Linked DNA regions of Schizosaccharomyces pombe. Changing the gene in region 1 together with any one later gene gives a genetic interaction. Each region holds a gene or a part of one and is shown on either strand. Other genes may lie near its edges.

The links.
Region 2: of shr3 (region 1) and ubc15, changing one suppresses a phenotype caused by changing the other (phenotypic suppression), as found in Schizosaccharomyces pombe (one large-scale study listed by BioGRID).

Annotation. Positions count from the first base shown.
Region 1 is NC_003423.3:1,173,560-1,181,534, reverse strand, and holds shr3 (chaperone protein Shr3), read left to right. Parts: upstream 1-5,621; 5' UTR 5,622-5,669; coding exon 5,670-5,780; intron 5,781-6,169; coding exon 6,170-6,706; 3' UTR 6,707-7,055; downstream 7,056-7,975. Other genes in the region: protein Trm734, read right to left, coding at 1-491; mef1 (mitochondrial translation elongation factor G), read left to right, coding at 1,143-3,455; translocation subcomplex subunit Sec66, read right to left, coding at 4,096-4,674; mtx1 (metaxin 1), read left to right, coding at 7,451-7,975. UniProt on the Schizosaccharomyces pombe protein: Involved in amino acid permease processing and required for the efficient translocation of structurally related amino acid permeases from the endoplasmic reticulum to the plasma membrane.
Region 2 is NC_003423.3:3,519,192-3,526,649, reverse strand, and holds ubc15 (ubiquitin-conjugating enzyme Ubc15), read right to left. Parts: upstream 3,881-7,458; 5' UTR 3,776-3,880; coding exon 3,731-3,775; exon of another isoform or gene 3,649-3,730; coding exon 3,505-3,648; exon of another isoform or gene 3,502-3,504; intron 3,427-3,501; coding exon 3,397-3,426; intron 3,380-3,396; exon of another isoform or gene 3,321-3,379; coding exon 3,095-3,320; exon of another isoform or gene 3,025-3,094; coding exon 2,966-3,024; 3' UTR 2,505-2,965; downstream 1-2,504. Other genes in the region: RAVE complex subunit Rav1, read right to left, coding at 1-1,775, 1,891-1,977; EMP70 family endosomal transport protein Emp70, read right to left, coding at 4,252-5,942, 6,091-6,289; TREX/TREX2 complex subunit Pci2, read left to right, coding at 6,646-6,777, 6,844-7,001, 7,049-7,458. UniProt on the Schizosaccharomyces pombe protein: Catalyzes the covalent attachment of ubiquitin to other proteins. Has a role in the formation of chromatin structures that influence the localization of transcriptional silencing factors.

The sequences.
Region 1 (7,975 bases):
GCAGAAGCTATGTAAATTTCATTTCCACTTATTTGTACCGTTGCGCAAAACAAAAGAGGCGTTTTCTCGCAAGATATTGTATTTGTAACTTCCCACGAACCTTTACTTAACGAAAGAAGATGAACTTGATTTTTCGATGTAACGACGCAAAATTTATTTTCTTCACCAAGCTCCGCTGCATTAAATATCCAGTCAGATATACGGTCATAGTAAACTTGGCTCGTTTCAACATCAACAACTGCAAAATAGGTTCCTCCCCAAACAAATAATCCTTGTTTACAAGGAAGCATTCCATGTATTCTATTATGAAATGGAAGTAAAATTGATTTAATTAAATCACTTTCGTGTCGACTTTCAGAAACATCGTAAATTCTTAAACAAGGTCCTTGAGCACAGCATAAAAACTTATCATTGTGAATAAGGGCCAAGCTAGTAACAGGACCCACAAAGTTAACTGGCTCTAAAACACCTTTATCACCCTCAACAAGCATTCTTAAACCCTTCTTAGATTTTTAAGTCCAGATTCTTCAAGCTAAATATAATACGCCGTCATAAAAACCGTGAGAAGAATTAGAAAAAAAATGGTATTAACCGATTAAGCAGTAAGGATTGAATAAGCTCAGCTTAAAAAACTGCAAAGAGCAAAAAACCCTAGTAGTAGAAATAGATTGCGATGGTGGTGAGGTTCAAACCGATTGTGGATACTAGAAAAGCGCGCTTTCTGATACAATGCCCAAAATACTTCATGACAAAATAGTTGTATTTCTTTTATAAGTACTATGCTTGGACCGCCTCATGAATCATTTAAACATGGAGATACCGAATACAGAACGAAGTCGCTTTTTTCTTGACGATAAGCAAGCTACTTTTAAATAATCAGCAACATTCAATTGCAAATACATATATATTCTCCATATAAAATGTATATTTTGTTATTCATTAAAAATGCGTTAAGTAAGTATTTGATTTACGTTTAAATAAATTTAATATGTTACCGCGGTAACTCGCGACACGTAAACAAAGCGACTTTGCTCCTCCCACCTTGCTCGACGACTCTCACCACCTCAGCGTGTTCCCAAAGCTAGGAATTTATTGTTTATGTTATTCATGGCTGTTTTTATATTCTATTGAAATAATATAAAATGCTAAAATTATCATTTAGGTCGCTGACAAGCCGCCTCCCCAGACTTTCTACTTTAGTCGTCCGTGGTTACGCGTCAGTAGCAAATACGGGCATTGAAGCTTCTAATACATCAGAAAATAATTTGAATATCCAAGAACAGTTGAATGATAACGATAAAAAGCGACTTAAACAAATTCGAAATATTGGAATATCTGCCCATATTGATTCCGGCAAGACTACCTTTACTGAAAGAGTTTTGTACTATACAGGAAGGATAAAAGACATTCATGAAGTCAGAGGAAAGGATAATGTCGGAGCAAAAATGGATTTCATGGAACTTGAACGGGAAAAAGGAATTACCATTCAATCGGCTGCTACCCATTGCACTTGGGAACGTACTGTGGATCAGATTGAAGCTAACGAAAAACAAAAAACTGACTTTGAGAAAAGTTATAACATTAATATTATTGATACACCTGGTCACATTGATTTTACCATTGAGGTGGAGCGTGCCTTACGTGTGCTAGATGGTGCAGTGTTGGTACTCTGTGCTGTCTCCGGTGTTCAATCGCAAACTATCACAGTTGATCGACAAATGCGCCGCTACAATGTCCCCAGGATCTCTTTTGTTAACAAAATGGATCGTATGGGTGCAGATCCGTGGAAGGTCATTCAGCAAATAAACACAAAATTGAAAATTCCCGCTGCAGCTGTTCAAATTCCTATAGGTCAAGAAGACAAACTTGAAGGTGTGGTTGATCTTATACAAATGCGTGCAATTTATAATCGTGGGTCGAAGGGTGAGAAAATCGAAATTTCTCAGCAGGTTCCTGAGAATCTTATTGAACTAGCAAAAGAAAAGCGCTCAGCTTTAATTGAAAAGCTTGCCGATTTAGACGAAGAAATTGCTGATATATACGTAATGGAAGAAGACCCTACACCTGAGCAGCTTATGGGAGCTATTCGTAGAACTACACTTGCAAGGAAGTTTACACCTGTATTAATGGGTTCTGCCTTGTCCAATGTTGGAGTTCAATCTGTTTTGGATGCTGTTTGCGACTACCTACCCAACCCTTCTGAGGTCGAAAATATAGCTTTGAATGCAGCAGACTCAGAAAAGCCAGTATCCCTTGTTCCTAGCAGTGAGAAGCCGCTTGTCGCTCTTGCTTTCAAACTCGAGGAGGGAAGGTTTGGCCAGCTCACCTATTTGCGAATTTATCAAGGTACACTCAAGCGGGGTAATTACATTTACAATGTCAATTCTACAAAAAAAATAAAAGTTTCACGCCTCGTTCGTATGCATTCCAATGATATGGAAGAAATCGAAAAGGTTGAAGCTGGAGGGATTTGTGCGTTATTTGGTATCGAATGCGCTTCTGGAGACACCTTCACGGACGGTTCCGTATCGTATACTATGACTTCAATGTTTGTACCAGAACCCGTAATTTCACTTTCTTTAAAACCGAAGAGCAAAGATACAACCAGTTTTTCTAAGGCTTTGAATCGCTTTCAGCGTGAAGATCCCACTTTTCGTGTGCAGTTGGATAATGAATCGAAAGAAACCATCATTAGTGGTATGGGTGAACTTCATTTGGAAGTTTATGTCGAACGTATGCGTCGTGAGTACAAGGTTGACTGTGAAACGGGTAAACCAAGAGTTGCATTCCGGGAAACTCTTTCCAAAAAGGTACCTTTCAGCTACCTGCACAAAAAACAATCTGGTGGAGCCGGTCAATATGCAAAAGTAGAAGGGTACATTGAATACATGGATGGTGTGGAAGACGAATCTGGAAACGTTGTTGATTGTGAATTTATCAACAAAGTTACCGGTGGAACAGTCCCTACGCAGTATATTCCAGCTTGTGAAAAAGCTTTTTACGAAGCATTGAAAAAAGGATTTCTCATTGGTCATCCTATAAAAAATTGCAGGTTCGTTTTAGAAGATGGTGCTTATCATCCCGTTGATTCCTCTGAATTGGCATTTCGTTTAGCCACCATTTCTGCTTTCCGTACAGCTTTCTTGCAAGCGAACCCAATGGTTTTGGAACCAATTATGAACGTAAGCATAACGGCGCCTGTTGAACATCAAGGTGGTGTAATTGGTAATCTTGATAAGCGTAAGGCGACTATTGTCGATAGCGATACAGACGAAGATGAGTTTACGTTGCAGGCGGAGGTCCCTTTGAACAGCATGTTTTCTTATTCCTCGGATATACGAGCCTTGACTAAAGGCAAGGGTGAGTTTAGCATGGAGTTTCTCAAATATCTTCCAGCACCAAAATATGTGCAGAAGGAACTTGTTGACGCGTACAACAAACAACAACAAAAATAATTTTTGAAGTCCGTTTTAAATGAAGCAACAGCAAAGTTTTTGGTAACCAGTCATTTCTATTTAAAAAAAAAAATTTTGATCCACTCTCCTCTTTACTAACGCAGCAATCTACATGCAAATAAAAAAAATAAATACCCAGATTATTACCATACAAGTAATGTACAATTTTTTTTGTGCAAGATAGTTCATGGAACAGAGAATGAGTATATTAAAGAATATGAAGAGTAAATTATAGACCAACTTATAAAGGCTGAGCTCTTAACGGAGACATTTTGGCCAGAACATACATTTGAATTCCAATAACTTGTTTTCAAATAGTGCTTTTTTCTTTTTCCTTCTTTCTTTCCATATTTTTGTTATTGGTTTGGAAAAAAAAGGGAGTAGGAATAGGATGATAGATAATATGAATAGGAAAAAAGTATGACTTTCAATATAAAGGTAAGGACAGTGATAAAGCAAGCCCCCTTTATGGAGTCTATTACTGAATTTGATTTATGAATGAGTTCTAAGGATTATTGTATAAAATAGGAATTTTAGTTTCAAAGAAAGAAAAAGATAAGAAAACGTAAAACATCAGATGCAAGAAAGAAACAGGAAAAAAAGAATAAAGGCACATACGAACATCTTTTTTTAAAACAATTTATAGCACTCCAAGTTCTTTTTGGGCTTGAATACGCAATTCCTCATCAGCGGCTTCATACAGAATTTTTTCGGTTTGCCAACGTTGCGAAATAGAATCAATGTCCTTGGGAATATTATCAATTATGCTGTGAATTTTTTCGTTTTCAATTATTTCATTGCAAGTTTGGAATATAAACTGATTCCATCCAGGCTGCAATGAATTGGCAGTTTTGGCAATATCCATCAACTCCAATTCAGTTTCCTTTTCCAAACGACCAAACTTACGAATTAGCTCGTCACCAACGCCGCCGCGGTTGAGCAAATTATTCAATGCCATTCTCGATACTTTAAGCTTCATCAATCGACGAAGACCTTCTGTAGCCCGTAAAACGAGAGCAGCTTTCAAAAGTGTATCCTCGGCAGGTGGATTCTGCTGCAAAAGACTGAAAAATATATTTCTAGAATAATTTTCTCCAAACCATTCTTCTGATACTGGTTTTGATTCCTGATTTTTGGATTTTCGCACAAAACGAGAAACTCCATACATAGAGCCCATTAAAATGGTAATATATATCAAGGGAACGTAAATCGACACCATATTGAATTAATTAACACGGCCAAGTATGTAAAGCAAGCAGGGACCTTTTTCTTTAACAACTCGTATACCCTTTTTGTATTATTTGTTTTTTGCAGAGTGGACTGCAAATATGTATATGAGATATAACTTCGAGACCAAATGAATGCAAGACCAGTTTAGGTGTGAAAGGAGAATAGTGTGTTTTCTGGAATGCTTTATATTTTATAAGGTTGATGTAATTTTCTGTTATTTGTAGATAAGAGATATTTATGTTTTCTTAAAGACGCTAAAATATTTTACGCGATGCGCTATTAGATAAACAAATCGATCGGATATTGTTCAATTGTTTGTTTAAACTCAGGTAAAAGTTTTTAGAATTAGAAATGAAAAAAATTTACTAATAGGGAACTAGGATAATAAACAATTGAGCATTTTAGAAACAGATTTTGCGACCATTGTGAAAACTGACGAAACATATAGTTAGGAAGACAAAAACACCTCATTTATGAAATTATTTCTTTTTTTCAAGTATACAAAGGATCTTTGTATGTTCTTCTATATTGTTTCTGTAGTTTTATTAGTATTTTTACATATCGAGGCATTGGCATTCATTTGTTTTATTTACAGCCAATTAATAAATTCCCTTATTTTGATATAAGCTTTACAGTCTCGCTTAACTTGAAAACGCTATGATGTTGTGTATTCAGTTACAATAAATAGTGACATACAATAGTCGCTCAAATATATCTGGTTATATTTTATATTAAATAATTTTGCCAACTGATTTATCTTGGGTTGATTTTTCTTATTCGTGAGATTTAGATAGCCGTTCATGATGTTTTTCTGCATACAATGCATATTAGTGGAAAATGCGTTCGATTTCCTTATACTCATACAATCCTTTAGACCGTCGAAAGCGGAGTGGTATCACTTTGGTATAAAAAGGTAGTCTTAATTAACCTACCACTAACGTATATTTTCATTAACAAAAAAAAAGTTTATTATCATTATTCAAGATGGCTAAAAGATCCATATTTCGTTTTGCTGATGAAAAGGGCTTGAAGGTCGCTGCCCGTTATGGAGTCCTTATGTCAACTAGTTTTATTTTTGCTTTACTTTTCCACAGCGTATGTTCCAATCAAATTTCTATTTTATTCTAAGATTATTCATTTGAAAATCAACTTTCATTTGATATCAATTTCGTTTAGCTTTTGGAGACAAAGGGAGCAGAATATGAGAAATTATAAGTCGGTACTTTGAGTGAATTCTGAATTTGTTTTACAAAACATGCATTGTTAAAATAAATCTGGAAAATTATTTTATCAGGAACGTTTCTAAAAAGGAGCTTTTTGTCTGTTTAAGTTTTCATAATCGGATACGAGCATTCATCTTACCGCTCAATGTTTGCCGCGCTGCTCATTTTTCTGTTGTTCTTATGTTTTTGGAGCTTCACTTCGAATTGATTACTTTGTTCATAGTCTTTATTTTCTTAGCATAAATTACTAATGTCATTTAGAGCGTTGCCGATGTGAATACCTTATGGAGTCCTGGCCCTGAGTCTGCTTTCGATGCTGCTGAAACTTACTATACTTTGGTGGCTGGATCCCATTTCATTGTAAAATATACTGTATATACCATCATGGGACTTAATATGATTTTCCATCTTATTCAAGCCACTGGCGCTAAAGGTGATGACAAATTGTTCTTTTACTCTAGCACGCTTCTTTATCTTACTGCACTAATTTTGTTTATTGTTAATGTTGCTCCTTCTATGTTGGTTGTTAAGCTACAGAATTATGTTCAATTCCCACGAAATATGCACTTGTCCGTTCTTGCTGCTTCTCATGTTCTTGTTGAATTTCTTCTTGCTGGTGTCATTCTTATTCAACTTGGATACGTTTTCGGATATCATGTTCAAAGTATCCAGCAGCGCGAATACGCTGAAGATATGAGGGAGCAAGAATTAGCTGAAAAGGCTAAATTGGAATCCGAGTCTGCTACTACTCAGAGTGTAGAAACTGTTTCCACCGAATCTGTTTCAAAGCGCAAGTAAACAAACCACTTGGGTCTAATTTTACAACTTTTGGAATAGAGTGAACTATTTTATATCTTGCTAATTATTGTTGCTAGTCCGTCATCAACTCTTTGACGCAAAGTTTATGTCTAACTAGAAAGCAAAGAGTGACTTGCATTGACGGTAACTGGGAAAGCTTACATGTGTATTCATACGTACAATTATATATATACAAGATTTATACTGTCTTATATAAGAAATAAATTGACTTGAATTTTCGATAGAGGAATAGTTCGTTATGTTTGGATTTAGAATAGTCTTTAGCACACTTATACTTCTTAATAATTAAATATGTACTCATTGTGCAAAAAGGATTATCACAAGTGAAGCTTTTGTGAGATTGTATATTCTTCTATACTATGGATGCATAAACAAAGTCTCATTTTAGATGGGTTTTACGCTGCAGATACAGCAGAAGCGCCATACAAATATACTAAGTAAAATCTCAAAGTTCAAATGCTCAATCGATTTATTGTGCTAATTATCGATGTTTAATTCACTTTTTAACAACTAATAAATAGGTAACAATGTTACTTGTTCGTATAGCTTACTTGACTGCATAGCATCAGAATGATAATTGTAACTAGCTTCAGCGAATTTGGTAAGTTGGACTAGTTGGTTAGTTATTACCTTTTTTTTCTTTCTTCTGTGTTTCTCTAATCTCAACCCTACTGTAGACGGTAACTTTTTCAATTCATTCGTTCGGGTCATTTTTTGATCAAAATGTTGCAACTTTTCATTTATAGCCCAGGACTTGGGCAACCAACGATGGATCCTGGATGCTTAGCGGCATTAATTTATTGCGCACTTGCCGTCCCAAAGGACGAAATTGAAATTCTTCGCACTGCAAATTCAGGTATGAGCCCTACCCATAAGCTACCAGCTTTGTGGGATGGTCATGTTTGGATTGGATCTTTGAAAAACATTTTAATATACTTGAAACAGAAGGGCTATAATTTGGATAATTTTGATGCGAAACAGCTGGCCAATGTTATGGCCTTCACCAGTTTATTGGAAGGTTCCGTCAATGACCTTTGGTTATTAGAAGCCTTTGTTAATGAGGAAAATTTTGTTGAAGCAATAAGACCTGCTTGGTCAAAGGCACTTAAATTTCCTCATAATTATTTGACACCCAATGCTTTGCAACGGCAAGCAAAAGAACGCTTGGCTCAAACACTTGGTATTCGCGACGAAGAAGTCTCTTATGAAGCATCAAGGATGCCTATTTCTCATAAATGGACTAATGCT
Region 2 (7,458 bases), 2.3 Mb from region 1:
TTCTCAGATACAACAGCAACTTTCTTGGATGTTGAGCCTTTGATCATAGTTGCAGATTTGATGCTAGTTTGCACTTTGGAAATTTCCGATATTTCCGCTTTATCGTCTCCCAATACTCTTGCCATCCAAGTCTGTAATAAACCGTCTTTTGATATTGATTGAAATACCTCTTGATCAAATGAAGATAAACTGCTCAAATTTAAAGTAGAAGACCAACCCATGACATCTACAGCCGATGCGATATTTAAATTCTTTGTAAAATTTACCCGATCTATAAACCGAAGTACAGCAGAACCATCATGAGCTTCGTTAGAGACACTCCAAAACCAGGCATGGCCTCCTTCCGTCAAAGCACATAGGGCGGAATTATCGTTGTTTTGAACAGGAAGAATAAAGAAGGTTATTATCGGACTAGTAGGGACTTGACGACATGTACAGAGAAGGGTTGGAGGAATTGCTTCATTGCAATGCCATAATTTTAAAGAATTTAAGTTGAGTACTGCTGCATATTCACCAGCATAAAGAGGTAATATAAAGTCAGATTCTCCAAGTAATAATCTGAACCTGCAAATTAACTGATTTTTCCCGTCTTGCGATATGTATGATTGAAACATACAGATACGATTAACATCTCGGGATACAATTCCATGACCATTAGAGGTTCTTGTTAAGCTTTTTATGGGATAATCATGTCCATAAAAATCGTAACTAACTCTTAACTCAAAGTCACTATAAAAGAAATCGGTAAGACTAAACATGTATTCACGGGCGGAATTTTGAAAAAATAAAATGATGTTATAATCGTAAAATTCGTGTTTTGAGGTCCTGTAAATAGGTATAAATCCGTCAGGTTGAAGAGCGCCTTTGGGAAAGTTCGTTGGAACTTGATTAATAAGCTCAAAAGATGACAAAGTTTCCTGGTCAATTACTAGAGAAAATATGTACAAACATTCAAAAGTAAATAGCAAAAATATATGTGGTTGTCCACTGGCCAAAGCCAGAAGCCTATTTAAAATGCGATCCTTATGCACTTGACCAGAATGGCGACTTATAGCATGTGCTAATGCTATAGTAAAATCGTCCTTATCAATAAAACAGCAGTATGGTGGTTGATCAGATTTGTAGTATTTTCTCAAGTTAAGAAAACAAGAAAGATGCATTAATTGAGAACCAAATCGGCTACCAACTTGCCAAATTCTTAGAACGTTATCATAGCCTACCGTACTCAGGAAGGGAGTCGATCCACTGGCGTCCGGATGAAGGTGTTTAGACCATTGGGAAAACCTTACGCGACAAGGATGAACAAGATAGCTGAAATCATCACATGAGCTAACTGTACCTTGAGGAGATGTTCGCTGCCAAACTTTAGCAAGTGGATTTTTTGTTTCGATAGAAGCTATAAAACAAGCATCGGAAGAAATAGTGCTACTAAGGAATGAATCCGAGATTCTGTTCTGCGACCAAACCAACCTGGGTTTGTCTTCAGAGAAATTTATAAGTTTAGTGTATGACGAAGCACAAAGCAACAGATCAAAATTGTATCCCCAAGATAGTTGAGTAATATCTTCAGAAAGCTGAGTTATATAATTGTAATGATGAGTCCATTTCAAAGAATCGGCGGGCTTATAAATATCCAAAACTTGTCCATGTGCTATTGCTAGAAACCCCGTACGTTGGTCCAAAGCCACTGCACCAATAGACTCTCCAAATTGTATATTTTGATAAGATTCGTAGTTATTTACAATAATTAATACGGTATAGCGAGTTCCAAATGTCTACCATTTAGTTAAACAATTACTTCAATTGGAAACAATACTTTGACATGCTGCTTTCGTTCTGCAGTTTAACCACTAGCAGACAAACGCATATCGTTTGCGTCCATTCACTTACTAATATTCGATTTTGGTTCCATTGTACATTGTCGTAGGCAGCTGTACGTTTTAGAGGTGTACCGGGATTTGTGAATGCCAGAGGCATGTTTACTGCAGAACGCTGTGCATGAGCTAAAATTGGATTTTTTTCGACTTGCAAATAGTTAAGGGAGAAATGACAATGATAAAAGCTATTAATATCTGATTTGACCTAATAGCTGTCTACGTTCCATATACGCATTTGAACCAGTGTGAACACCACCATACTGCGGAATAGCGTAATATTAATTGTCATTCTGAAAAGTTTAAGCATAATGCAATAAAAAAACGCTAAATGAAAAGGCAATGCTTTCACGGTTCTTAATGCAATTTTAATATTCATCTTAAATGGTTACTCTGAGTATTTAATTTTCAAACTCAACGAAGTTTCGCTAGATTCTTTAATTGGTTTGATTAATCATTGAATCAGTCATTCGGATACGTAGGAGACATTGAGCTAGTTAGTGTAAAATATAATAGACTGAGATTTATCGCTGCATTCAATGTATGTTGTGCAAAACGCGGAATTGAAACCGTCGCTGATAAAGTATGAGCGTATAAGCGAAAATAATTACTTGAATAGAAAATTTTCAATGGAAAACTATCAATTCACGAAGTATTAGCTGACGTTTGTTCAAAGAAAAAAATTCAATCGTGAAATGTAGATTTTTATTTGTTGTTTATCTAAATTATGGCTGTAATTGGTAAAGAAGTAGGATAAATCACTTGCGGTTGTAACACTTGAAAAACTTGAAAGCTTTATAATAAAAACAGAAAAGAATCAAAAGCTGTTAGTTTTAAAATGTCAACCGTTCTGCCAATATTTCATTATATGTGATAATAAATGAACAGTTTGCTAAACTTATTCAAAAAATGGGCAACGGCAATACTTCAAAGATGGCATAAAATATGCAATTCAACTTGTAAAGCTACAGACTTTTTGAGTAAGCTTTACTGCTAGTTGACTTAGGAGGTTTTCTATGCAGCGACTTGAATTTCCTTCATAGCCTTTTTTCTAAATATAGGAAATTAGGGACCTAGGTTGAACATTATCTTCAAATCATTTCAATTGACCTGCGAACAAGTCGACGAACTCTTTTCTTAAATTCTTGTGCTGGAAAAAGTTAGTACGATTTGATTATTAAAGAGTAAATTTTTTTGTTTGTAGGTTAGTATATACTCACGATTTTCTCGAAATTCCTTGGCAGCATCTATATTGGCAGGGGACTCATCATTAGGGGAAGAAAGCATGGAAATTACACTAATCAATATGGTTTCCGGAGAGTGTACCGGAAGCCAACGTTCTCCAGCATCCTCGTATCCATACTTGTCATCTCCTGGTGGGTGAAGAATCGATATGCAAACTTCGCCATTCGGATGAACATTAGGGTGCCAAATTTCCGTTGTGAACTGTTACCGTTAGAATCGTTTTTAGGCATAGACTATGTAGTTTCTATCAATTAAAAAATCAATGTATTTACTATACCTTCATCTTTGGAGGCATCAGAGGATAATCCTAATTTTTCGAGGTTAGTGACCAGCTTGTTTACCTTATACAACAAATATTATTTTTCTGTGAAACATAAATACATACTTGAGGAAACGATAATGTTGCATGGAAAAAACCACCTTCATATAATGTATCTTCTGGTCCAATGATCATAACTTCCCATTCAAAAATGGATTTATCATCGACTAAACCAACGCTAAAACCCTGTGGAGGATTTTTTTGAATTTCCTATATCTATCAGTATGTGTTCAAGAATTAAGATACTATGTACAATCATGAATATTTGGATATGAAGATTTCGTGCGCTTACCTTTAGTTGTTTTCGAAGAAGTTGTTCACTAGCAGAAGAAGGCATACTTCCGATATTTTAATAATTACGTTCTAAATATTTGGTAAACTGAGAAAAAGTAATATAAAGACAATTTTTAAAGTAGGGTTGAGCTGAAGGCGAAATACTGGTAGTTGAAAAAGGTTTGGGCGAGCTTCGTAAATATAGTTAGAGTAATATTCCTTTTTTGTATTATTTATGTAACATATAATAAAGCTTTTAACGTAGAAAACATAAATTTAATTTACTCTAAGTAAACATTTTGGTTAAGATTACAATTTTCAAATTTCTTCTATGATATAGTACCTAAGGTTTTATTACACAAAGTAAAACAAACTGTAGTTATATATTGGATGACCGAAAAAAAACGGCATATTCCTATGAAATTATTTGAATATAAAAGAGAGTGTTCTCCAAGTCATTTTGTTGATTAATAAGGTTTGTAACGGAGAAAGCTCAAATTGAACAATAAATAAAGAGGTATGTACAAATGCCTCGAATAATCAATCAATTTTAATGGACGCATAAATTTTGTTAACAAAGAGAAAGGCGCCAAAGAAACCAACCGATCCACATAAGAAAAATACCAAAACAGAAATCAGTAAACTATAGCCGAAATAAAGAACGGCAGTAGCAAGGGAAGATGATGAGATTTTAAAAAACCAGTAAAATACTGAAAATATAAATACATAGATTCCACAAAATCCAGGTGTTATGAAAGAGCGCCACCACCAGTTGTAGTTTTCGGAACACAATTGGAAATAAACAGTGATAATGGAAACCATGATACAAGTGGTTACTAAAATACCGAAGCAAAAGAACGAGAAACCGAACATGAAATACAATGGGTGAAACCATAAACTGTCAAGGATAGAAAACAATTCAATAAGGATTACGAGGAATGGTATAGATCCACCGATAATCGCACTAGGAAAACTCGAAAGCCAAATACTATGAGATGGAATTTGACGAGGGATTTGGTTTGTCCTAACAGGTGGGACGAACTCTCGAGAACGAAAGCCGATTAAAGAACCGACAAAGCTTAATGGTACAGTAAACAATAGATACAGGAAAATGAGTAGAAGCCAGCTTGAAAAGGGTACAGTTGATGATGAACTTTTACTCCAAAATACCATGTTAAAGAAAAGAGCTGCCGCAAGCATAAAACCAGGTACGACAAAAGGAGTTAACAGAAGATTTCGCTTTCTAAGCATACCTTGCATCAGTTTGTAGGATAATGCAGATACATAACCAGAAACGAAACCTGATATAATGAATAAGGCCACCGTTGCTGTAGCTAAACTTCCACGACGAGAGGGTGCAACAATGCCAAAAATTGCAAATAAAACGATACCAGAGCTCATAAAAAGAAGTTGTGCACCAGTCCCTAAAAGGATAGAAAATAGCATGGGTCTACGAGGTGGACGAAATACATCACCATGAACTAGCTTCCAACCAAAATCTTCTTGAACATCTTCTTGATCGACAAAGGCGCTATTATATTTATTAATGTCACGATTTAGCGTTCTGTACAAAATAATAGAAACCACAAAAATTAGAAATGTGTCAATAATTGCGGAATGGATAATAAAGATCCATCGAATTTGCCTAGATTCAATGTGCATATATTTGTCCCATCGGGTAGCCCATGGAGTATCGGAATATTTCCAAGAGACTGAGTAAGAGGTCACGAGAGTAAGATCAGCTCCTTCCGGTAAATACTGTGGATTTGAAGACGAAGAACAAACTGGGTTTCCATCAACTAAAGTAGACTCCTTTGAGACAGGTTTTACATAAGCACCCACAACACGGTGTTGGTCACTAGATGTCGTATGATATTCTATAACTATATCATAATGATTGAATAGAATTACTCCCTTCTCCGTATTCTTGCCTAATGGAAAGCCTGGCGATAATGAGTAGTTCTTTGAGTTAGTCCCTTCTAAATATGTTGCTACGGGCAGATTATCTATGTTCCAGTTAACAACGTAGTTTTTGGAGATTAAATCTCTAATAAAACTGACATCTGAACTGGGAATTATCGAGGCACACAAGGGAACACAATCCTGGTTTTCAAGCATTTTTATTTCAATGGGAGAGTTGTAGAGACGGTCGCCAAAAAGCACACTTCCAAGTGACTCAGATTGTTTTGCGATATTCTCTGGTCGACAGAAGTGGAAACGCTCATCGTAGTCTAAAGTGAAGTTAGTAACAAGCAAAAAAGTTCGAGAGAAAATGTTATATCCTTCATTAAATCATATTTCTATAGTGTTTTCCTAATTTAAAATTGTAAAGTTTTTAAAAAAACACATGAACCTTCATGTGAGCTATCAACCACGTACATTCATAATTAAAGATGTCAGAACCCCGTCCATCTCCAATAAATGGTGAAATGGTATTGACAGTTGTATCAATTGAAGCACCGGGAGGATAGTTTTTCGGACTTAAGGGAGTTAATTGAAAACTAAAACAGGTTTGGAGAAGAACGGAAACGAAAACAACAAAGCTAAATGAACACGAGGGAATACTAGGTAAAAGCATATTTTACTATTTCCCTAATTCTTGGCAAAGACTCGAAACAGAATCTTTTCAAACCGAGATGATTAAGACTAAATCAATATAAAGTGCTACGGTTTTGGGGATTGATGCTGGTAGCATTTAATTTGAGGAATGCTGCTGTACTCTTAGTATGTCTCTTTATTGTGCTATTAACAATCCTCGTATACCGGTTTACGACCTGCTAACTTTCGTTATTCGTATATGAGGTTCAGAACGTGAGAGTTGGAGAACATCGATGTAAGCGAAAACATATCTGTTGAGTTTTCTTGTTATAACTTATTTATCGTTACATAATAATTGAAAGTTTAGTACTAAAAGTTGCGAAGGAACAGGTTGGAATGTCCTTAAATGACTTTCTGCAAACTTTGAGTAACGCTGTTGGAGAGAAAAACTCCAATACGTTGGAGAAATGTATTATTTTAGATCCATCAGAGCCCTCGTTTCAACAGCTCAGTAAAACTCTTTTTTTGGTATGTCGCAGGCTTGCACTACAAGTAATTGTCTTCAGGTTATAACATTAACTAACCGTGATAAAGGATAGAAAGGGGAAAAATAAGTTAAACGGAACCATTCAAAAAGAATTTGGAAGAATAAGAGGTTGGAAGGAATTGGTAACTACCTATTTTGAGTACGTTGAAAATGCTGCATCTTCTCCTGATCAACGAAAATGGGAATTGTTACAAAACTTGTATAGGTAATTAAAAACTTTTTGTTTATTATTTCTCACTTTTGTTTTTCTAGTAACTTGACAACTTGCTTCTCCCATATCGATGGAGCATGGTTGTGTACAATTGTAAAACGCGTTTCAAAGCTTTATGTAAAGCTCTCCCTTCAGCTAGATACATCTACACCTACTTTAGAAGATTCTTTTGATGGTAATGGGTTCATACAGAGGAAATACGTGAGCGATGCATCTAGGAACGTCTTACGAACGTTCAATAGTATACTGAGTGATCGTCAACAAAACATTAACCCTTCGAAGAAGGATGCGATATTCTGTATTGCCAATTTACTTTGTTTACTATATTTTCGCTTAAAGCAAATTCGTCTTTGCCAAACTATTCAAGCTAATGTCATCTCTTCGGGTGCCGATATTTCTCGCGCTACAATGGCGGAATTAGTAACGTTTCGTTATTATTTAGGAAGGTGTC